2 linked regions of the Lonchura striata genome follow. The protein of the gene in region 2 purifies or fractionates together with the protein of the main gene of each other region. This does not show direct contact. Links are inferred from orthologs where the notes say so. Each region holds a gene or a part of one and is shown on either strand. Other genes may lie near its edges. The genes, in order: PRKAR1A and AKAP11.

What was found.
Region 1: the proteins of AKAP11 (region 2) and PRKAR1A purify together in Homo sapiens (affinity purification with mass spectrometry; 3 studies listed by BioGRID and IntAct, counting the BioPlex papers as one, with this or other methods). This does not show direct contact. The link is inferred for Lonchura striata from reciprocal best matches to the Homo sapiens genes AKAP11 and PRKAR1A.

Annotation. Positions count from the first base shown.
Region 1 is NC_134621.1:9,548,808-9,552,715, forward strand, and holds the start of PRKAR1A (cAMP-dependent protein kinase type I-alpha regulatory subunit), read left to right. Parts: upstream 1-1,396; 5' UTR 1,397-1,496; intron 1,497-2,411; 5' UTR 2,412-2,475; intron 2,476-3,908. UniProt on the Homo sapiens protein: Regulatory subunit of the cAMP-dependent protein kinases involved in cAMP signaling in cells.
Region 2 is NC_134604.1:59,682,158-59,686,065, reverse strand, and holds the start of AKAP11 (A-kinase anchor protein 11), read right to left. Parts: upstream 2,366-3,908; 5' UTR 2,258-2,365; intron 1-2,257. UniProt on the Homo sapiens protein: Binds to type II regulatory subunits of protein kinase A and anchors/targets them.

The sequences.
Region 1 (3,908 bases), on a different chromosome or scaffold from region 2:
GAAAATCCTGGACCCTGGCTTCTAATTAACCCAGATCAGACAGAAGTTATCAAAGATTTGGGGAATGTGAGCTCAGGGGCTGGACTGGGTCTGTCAGAATTGCAGGTCCAAGATCTACACCCAAGTTATTATCCTTTATTTCTTTAATATAAGAGCTAATAAACAAGAAACCCCTCAGCAGGTAGTTCCTGATGGCTTGTGTGTCACTGCACAAACAGCACAAACTTCTTATACCATAATATACATTAAACTGTTGCTGTTGAGAGTAATTTTCACTGTACTTTACGTGATTGCTGGCTGAAATGATGTAACATTAGAGTAAAAAGTTATGTTCTGCGTTGCAAGACCAGCAAATGCACAGTTCAGGGCTCATTTTTAGGGATTATTTCTCCTTCCTAAACCCAGAGATGGGCTATGCCTGTGCCAGCACAGTCCAGATATAAAAATCATTTAAATGATTTCTTACAGCTTGGAAGAGACAAAGTGAATGGAGTCAAAGGGCTCATCTCAGCTATAAAGACACATGGAATAATTTGTACACGGATTTACATTGATTATAGTGAAATCTTTGCCAAACTTGAGTATCGTTTATTTCCCTCAACCTATAACAATCTCTGATCTTTGAAGCGGGTCCTTTCCAGGAGAGTCGGTGTGGAGTTGATGCCCTGGCGGATCCCACTGCCCTCAGGGGATCCCTCTCCTCCCGACCATTCCTGCTCCCCTCAGAGGATCCCTCTCAGGGTTTCCCACTCCTCTCTGCCATTCCTTTTCACCTCAGGGTATCCCTCTCCCCTCAGCCATTCCCTCTCCTCAGCCATTCCCGTTTCCCTCAGGATATCCCTCTCCTCTCAGCCATTCCCGCTCCCCTCAGGGTATCCCTCTCCCCTCAACCATTCCCGCTCCCCTCAGGGTATCCCTCTCCCCTCAGCCATTCCCTCTCCCCTCAGCCATTCCCTCTCCCCTCAGGGTATCCCTCTCCCCTCAGCCATTCCCGCTCCCCTCAGCCATTCCCGCTCCCCTCAGCCATTCCCTCTCTCCTCAGGGTATCCCTCTCCCCTCAGCCATTCCCTCTCCCCTCAGCCATTCCCGCTCCCCTCAGCCATTCCCTCTCCCCTCAGCCATTCCCGCTCCCCTCAGGGTATCCCTCTCCCCTCAGCCATTCCCTCTCCCCTCAGGGTATCCCTCCCCCCTCAGCCATTCCCGCTCCCCTCAGGGTATCCCGCGCCCCTCAGCGGACCCCACACCCCACCCCGTTCCCGCCAGCCCCGCGCCCTTAAAGCTGCAAAGCTCCTCCCGCGCCGCTCCCCGGCCTGTGCCCGCGCCGCGCCCGCCGTTGCCCCTTTAAGGTTACCGCGGCGACGGGCCCGGGCGAGAGCGAGGCGCATTGACGTCAGGGCGGGCGGGGCCCGTCCGGCCGGTCGGTTTCCGGTGCCGCCGCTGCAGCGAGGCCGCGGCCGGGCCGGGACGGGCGGGGGGTCCCGGCGGAGCCGCCGCAGGTGAGCGGGGCGGGGGCAGCGGCCGGGCGGCCCCGGGGCGGCGGCGGGGCCGGGGCGCTACGAGAGCCGGGCGGGACGGGCGCGGAGCGGGAGGCTGCGGCCTTGGGGCGGGGCCGGCCCGGCGCGGCGGAGGGAGCGGAGCCGGGGCCGCGGCTCTGCGGGTGCCGTGGGGGCAGCGGCGCCTTCTCGGGCCAGTGTCCGAGGGGCCCCCGCGGGCTGTGGGGCCGGGCCCCGCGGCGCTCCCGGGCCTTTGTGCCGGCTGTGCCCCGCGGCCCCGTCCCCGCCCCGGGGGTACCGGGTCGGTGCCTGCCGGGTCTGGAGCGGCCGCAGCCCCGCGCCGCGTGAGGGACGGGCTGGGCTGGGCTGGGAGGGGCAGCCACGCCTTGGGGAGCTCGGGGAAGCTTTGGGGACGTGCAGAAAGAACGGCTTGTAGGAATAAATCCCGGAGTTTTCATTTTGTCCGTGATGCTGCATTTCCTGCACCGCTCCTGCCCTCCTGGCGTGGCCGTGGCCGCTCACGGAGCCACCGGGCTCGGTTCATTAGCGCTGACCTTCACCGGGCGGGCTGGCCAAACAAAAGGAGTCGCTGGAGAACTTCTCGTGGCTTTCTCAGCCCGTGGGAAGGCCACGCTTTGTGTTTATGCAACGCACAGTACACGTGTGTGTGTGTGTGTCCTTGAGCAGGGATTAAGCGTGACAATCACGACACCTGCGTGAAGTGTTGGTAATTCCATATTAAATCCAAGCCTTCTGTAATCTCCAGCAGCAGAATTCAGAGGGGCACGTTGTTTTGTTGTCTCTGTGCCCTGGGTTTTCCTGCTGCTTCCTCCGCAGGATAAAACCCATGATGTGACTTCAGTGACTTGTCATTTCTCAAAATTCTTTTGACTGAATTCATTTTTTCCCTTTCAAAAGCTGATCCCGGGATCAACATATCTTACTGCATATAAATAAGCTGTTGCCACACTCCCTGTAGCAGGTAACTTTCTTTATATTTCATCCAAAAATGCCCTGAGAAATTCTTTCCTGTTTCTTTAACTCTCCCAGTGTCAATTTTCTTATGAAAAAAATGATGTGAAATGTGTGTCTATATACATGTACACGTAAAAAAATATATCTTAAAATGGTTTTATAACCCTGTGGTGGGCCAAGCCAGGCTAGATGCTAAGCACCCACCAAAACTGCTCCATCACTACCCTCTTCAACTCAACAACAGAAGGAAAATATAAGGACAGGCTCCTGGACTGAGATAAGGGAGAGATCACTTACCACTTGCCATTGTGGGCAAAACAGACTCTACTCAGGGAAATTGATAATAAATTAAACTAACTAAATTGTAGTAGGATAATGAGAAATAAAGCTAAATCGTACAAACATCTTCCTGGCCCTCTCCCTTCTCTCCAGCTTTAACTTTACTCCTGATGTTCTCTGCCTTGCCTCACCTCAGAGGATGAGAATTGCAGTCAGTTCCTTACATGTTGTCTCTGCTGCTCCATCCTGCACACCTTCCCCCTGGGAGACAGTCCTCCATGGACTTCTCCAGTGTGAGTCCTTCCTGCAGGCTACTCTCCAGCCTGGTTTCCCTTCCATGGTCACAACTCCTGCCAGAAAACCATCCCAGGATAGGATTCCTGTGGGATCACACTCTGCATTCCCCTGCTCCAGTGTGGGGTCCTCCAGGGGCTGCAGATGGATCTCTGCTCCCTCTTTGGGTCTCCAGGGGCTGTCAGTGGATCTCTGCTCCCCCATGGATCTCCAGGAGCTGTGGGTGGGTCTCTGCTCCCCCATGGATCTCCAGGGGCTGTCAGTGGATCTCTGCTCCCCCATGGATCTCCAGGGGCTGTGGGTGGGTCTCTGCTCCCCCGTGGATCTCCAGGGGCTGTGGGTGAATCTGCTCCCCTGTGGATCTCCAGGGCACAGCTGCCTCACCATGGTCTGTATCACGGGCTGCCAGGGAATCCATGCTCCAGGGCCTGCAGCACCTCCTGCACTGACCCTGGGGACTGCAGGGCTGTTTTTCCCATTTATTGCCACTCACCTGTCTGGCTGAAGTAGCCATTTCTCCTCCCTCCTTAAGTACCTTGTCCCAGAGGCTCTGCCACTGTCACTGATGGGCCCAGCCTCGACCAGTGGCAGTTTCATGTTGGAGCTGTCTGGCATTGGCTCTGTTGGACATGGAGGAAGCAGCCAGCAGCTTCTCACAGACCCCCCCCTGTACCCCGTGCTACCAAAATCTGGAAGTAGAAACCCAGTACAAACTTGAAAGGGGAGAAAAATCTGCTTAAGAATATATTTCAAAGTATCATAGCTGAAGTCTTTCGAAAACCTGGCATCATAACAGATGTTTAAAGCTGTACTCTTCATTATTTACAGTTGAAGAGGTATTTTTGGGATTGCAGTGTGCCCATGAAA
Region 2 (3,908 bases):
GGGGACACCCTGGCTCGTGTTCAGCTACTGTCAACCAGAACGCTCAAGTCCCTTTCTGCCAAACAGTTTTACAGCCACTCTCCCCACAGCCTGCAGCATGGAGTGGGGTTGTTGTGACCCAAGTGCAAGACCCAGCACTCAGCCCTGTTGAACCTCATACCACTGGCCTCAGCCCACTGATCCAGCCTGTCCAGGTCTACACACAGAGCCCTCCTACTCTCAAGTAGTTCAACACTCCCATCCAACCTGGTGCTGTCAGCAGACTTCCTGAGGGTGCACTCAATCCCCATGTCCAGATCACCAATAAAGATGTTAAACAGGACTTGCCCCAGAACTGACCTCTGGGGACACCACTAATGACCGGCCTCCAGCAGGGTTTAGCTCCATTCACCACCACTCTGTGCATCCAGCCAGTTTTTTATCCACAGAAGAGTACTCCCACCCAAGCCATGAGCAGCCAGGTTTTCTAGCAGGATGCAGTGGGAGATGGTGTCAAACACCTTACTGAAGTCAAGACAGACATCATCTACAGCCTTTCCCTCATCTAAGTGGGTGACTTTGTCATAGAAGTAGATCAGATTAGTCAAGCAGAACCTTCCTTTTGTAAATTTGTATTGGTTGGGCCTGATTCCCTGGTTGTCCTGCATGTGTATTTATAACCTTACCAAACAATTGCTATTAAAAACCAAATAAAGCAAGTCTACACCGACAAGCAGGTAGAATATTCTAATGGATCCTTCTCTATTTATCATTTCTAATGATTTATCAGTTTCACTGATCAGGTCAGCAGTCTTGAAAGTCCAGGTATGAAACACAAGTTGTCTTAACCACAGCTACCCACAACAAAAGCAAAACACATCAAAAGTGAGCAAAATACACCATTTAGGTAAGCAATAATGACAGGCCGGGTCCTCCTTTTCTTGCTTGGTTTTAATTCTCTTACATTGTATTTCTGTCACACAGAAGCAGTAATTTCAAAAGAATCAATCATTTTCTTTTCCTACATCATCACTAGCTAGTCATCACCCACAGCCTCCCCCCAGTCCCGGGTCTCGACTCTTAAATACTTCCTGGGAAAAAAAATGTTATGTTGATGTACTAGGGCTATCCACTGGTCTGGATTTTGTGGCTTATGCAATTAACCTTTAAGTTTCTGTACTTCAGTCTGTTATTTTGTACATGACAGAACCACATCCAGTAAGGTGGGGCTATTATTTTCTAAGCTGCAGCATTTTCTCAAGAAAACTTACTCCCACCTAGAGAAAATTTCACCAGAGAATACCTTGTTTAGTTCTCAAGGATTAATTAAATATAGGTAGTACCACCACTAAAATCTAACTATACGATTCTGAAATCTTACAAACATGAACCATGTATGACTCTTCCAAGTGTAACCTGAATAAATTTTGAACATTGTTACCATTTATTTCAGTATCACTGATCTTTTTCAGATACAATGTAAGTGGCATTCTTCCCTCCCTATCTCACTCTGGCAATACATCAGAGAAGAGAAGGCTGTATCTTTAAATACAGTTCGGATCTACAGCTAACCCTTTTTTTTTCCTTTTGCATACTGGATTTCTTTTGGAAACCAGAGAAAAGTACTTTGGTCGTAATAAGAGAGCCAAAGAAAGCCCCTCAAAAGAGCCAAGAAAGCAAAGGAGGAACGCTCCTTGTTCTCCTCCCCTGGGGGAGAAGAGGAACTGGGAGGAGGACATGCGGCGGGAGGGAGGGAGGGAAGGAGGGCGAGGAGACACTTCTACAGCGAAATGTTGAGAGCAGGCTGAGCTTACTTAACCCGTGCGCACCGACGGCAACCCAAACAATGCAGGAGGGAACGTGAGCTCACGGAGCCTCCGTGCACGGACTAGGACTGCACAAGCACGAGTCACTCAGCTCCCAGCGGAGACTGCGGACCGACATCCCGGCCCACGGGGACATCGGGGCCGTGGGACGGCGATGCCCGCACGCTGGGTCCGGAGCGAAGCGCTGCGCTGCCCCCTCCCCAGCTCGGGTCACCCCGGCCTCGCCCCCGGGCCGCTCCCCGTCACCCGCGGGAGCTGCGCTGCCCCAGGGGACCCTTCCCTGGGAAGGGCGGCAGCGGATGCGGCTCCCCGGCAGCCCGCGGGCGACCTGTGGCAGCGAGCCCCAGCTGACAGGCCGGCGGCGGCGCCCCGCCCTGCGCCCGAGCTCCCCAGCAGGGCGGCCCGCGGGGCAGCGACCGCAGGGGGTGGGAAGAAGAGCGGGCGCCGCGTACCTGTGGCTGTCGCCGGGAGCGCCGCCGCCTCCTCAGCGCCCGCCGCCCGCGGCCATGGCCCCGCAGCGGCGCGGCCCGGAGCGCCCGACCGGCCCCGCCGCCCCCGCCCGGCCCCGGCCCGGGCCCCGCCCCCTCCGCCCCGCCCCGCCCCGCCCCGCCCCGCTCTCGCGACGCTTCCCGCCCGGGCCCGCCCCCGCAGCTGCCGCCGCCGCCGCGCGCTCCCATTGGCGGGAAAACGGCGGCCAACCCGGAAGCAGCCGAGGCGGCGCACGGGCTCCCGGCTCCCGGTTCCTGCCCCGGCTCCCGGCCCGGCTCCCGGCCCATCCCAGCCCCCCCGCGGGGAGTGCCCGGCCGCGGGCACGGCATGGGCAAAGCCCCCGGGAGCCGTGTGCCTGCCGGGGGCCGGGCTGTTCTGCTTCCTCCGTCGGGGTCGGGGGCTGCTGCCCACTTGTTCTGGGTTCCCTTCCATGCCCGGCCGGCGGCCTCAGCACGCGGCTGCGGCCTGGATTTAGTCGGGCGAGGCGCGGACAAGACTGAGATCCTGTCTGAAAATCCCGTGCTGCCTTCCCTTCACAGTGCCGGCTTAAATTCAGTGCTGCCGGATTCCCCAGGGCACCAGGTGTGCATTTAGCCAGCAGATAGGCAATTGATTTTCACCTCCTCGTGAGTTGTTCTGCTGTGCGTGTAGGTGTAGGGGCCTGGGATTTCTTCTCGTTTGGATGGAAGCGGTAATCTCGTGTAGCTTCCCAGCATAAAACTCCATTCCAGTAGCAGCAGCCGCTCGTCCAGGCACTAACCTGGCAGCAGGGACACAGCCAGGAGATGTGTTGAATAAGGCACAGTGGACCGTCTCAGCAGCGTGGGCTGACAACTCTGTCCCCCCACAGAGGAGAGACTCCGGGAATCGGGACAGGCCTTCCCGAGAGCCGCATGCGAGGGTGAAGCTGGGGGCGGCCGGAGTTCCGCAGCTGGAGACGGGGCAGCGAGTGCCTGCTGCAGCTTCTGCAACGCAGAAAACAAAGTGACCCCAAAGCTATATTCAGGGAAAAAAAAAATATATATATATATATATAAAATATATATATATATATATATATATATATATATAATCTCCCAAACTTCGTTTACTAGGGAAGGGGTTAGGGAAGAAAAAAGTCATTAAATTAAAAGAATGTATTTTTTTCGGTGCTGAGTGGTTTTAAGCTCTAACCTACCGAATTTTACAGAGAAAAAGACAAAGAGAACTACCCTAACCCCCTCATAAATTGCACTTTTCTTCTGGATACCACCTAAGACCTATAAAAACGATGAGAATTTTTTTTGCTACTGACTCTCCCTTAATCTTCTAGATAATTCCTGCTTCTGCCTACCTGCTGTTTTTAAGCTGTGGCTTTTCTTTCTCATTTATCTTTCATGACCTCTACAATCATTTTAGACACTTCAGAAGTCAGGGGGTCCATATTAATTTTTGCCAACAGGTAGGTGAACTACATTTTCATTTACCCTAAAAACTACTAAGCTGTACAACAAAGCCATGCAAAAACTACACAGATAAAATAAATGAAAGATTGGCTATAAACTGTGTCTCACTCTGCCACAAGTCAGACAAATAAAATGTTCCACATGCTCCCAGGTCCTGCAGGTCCCTATG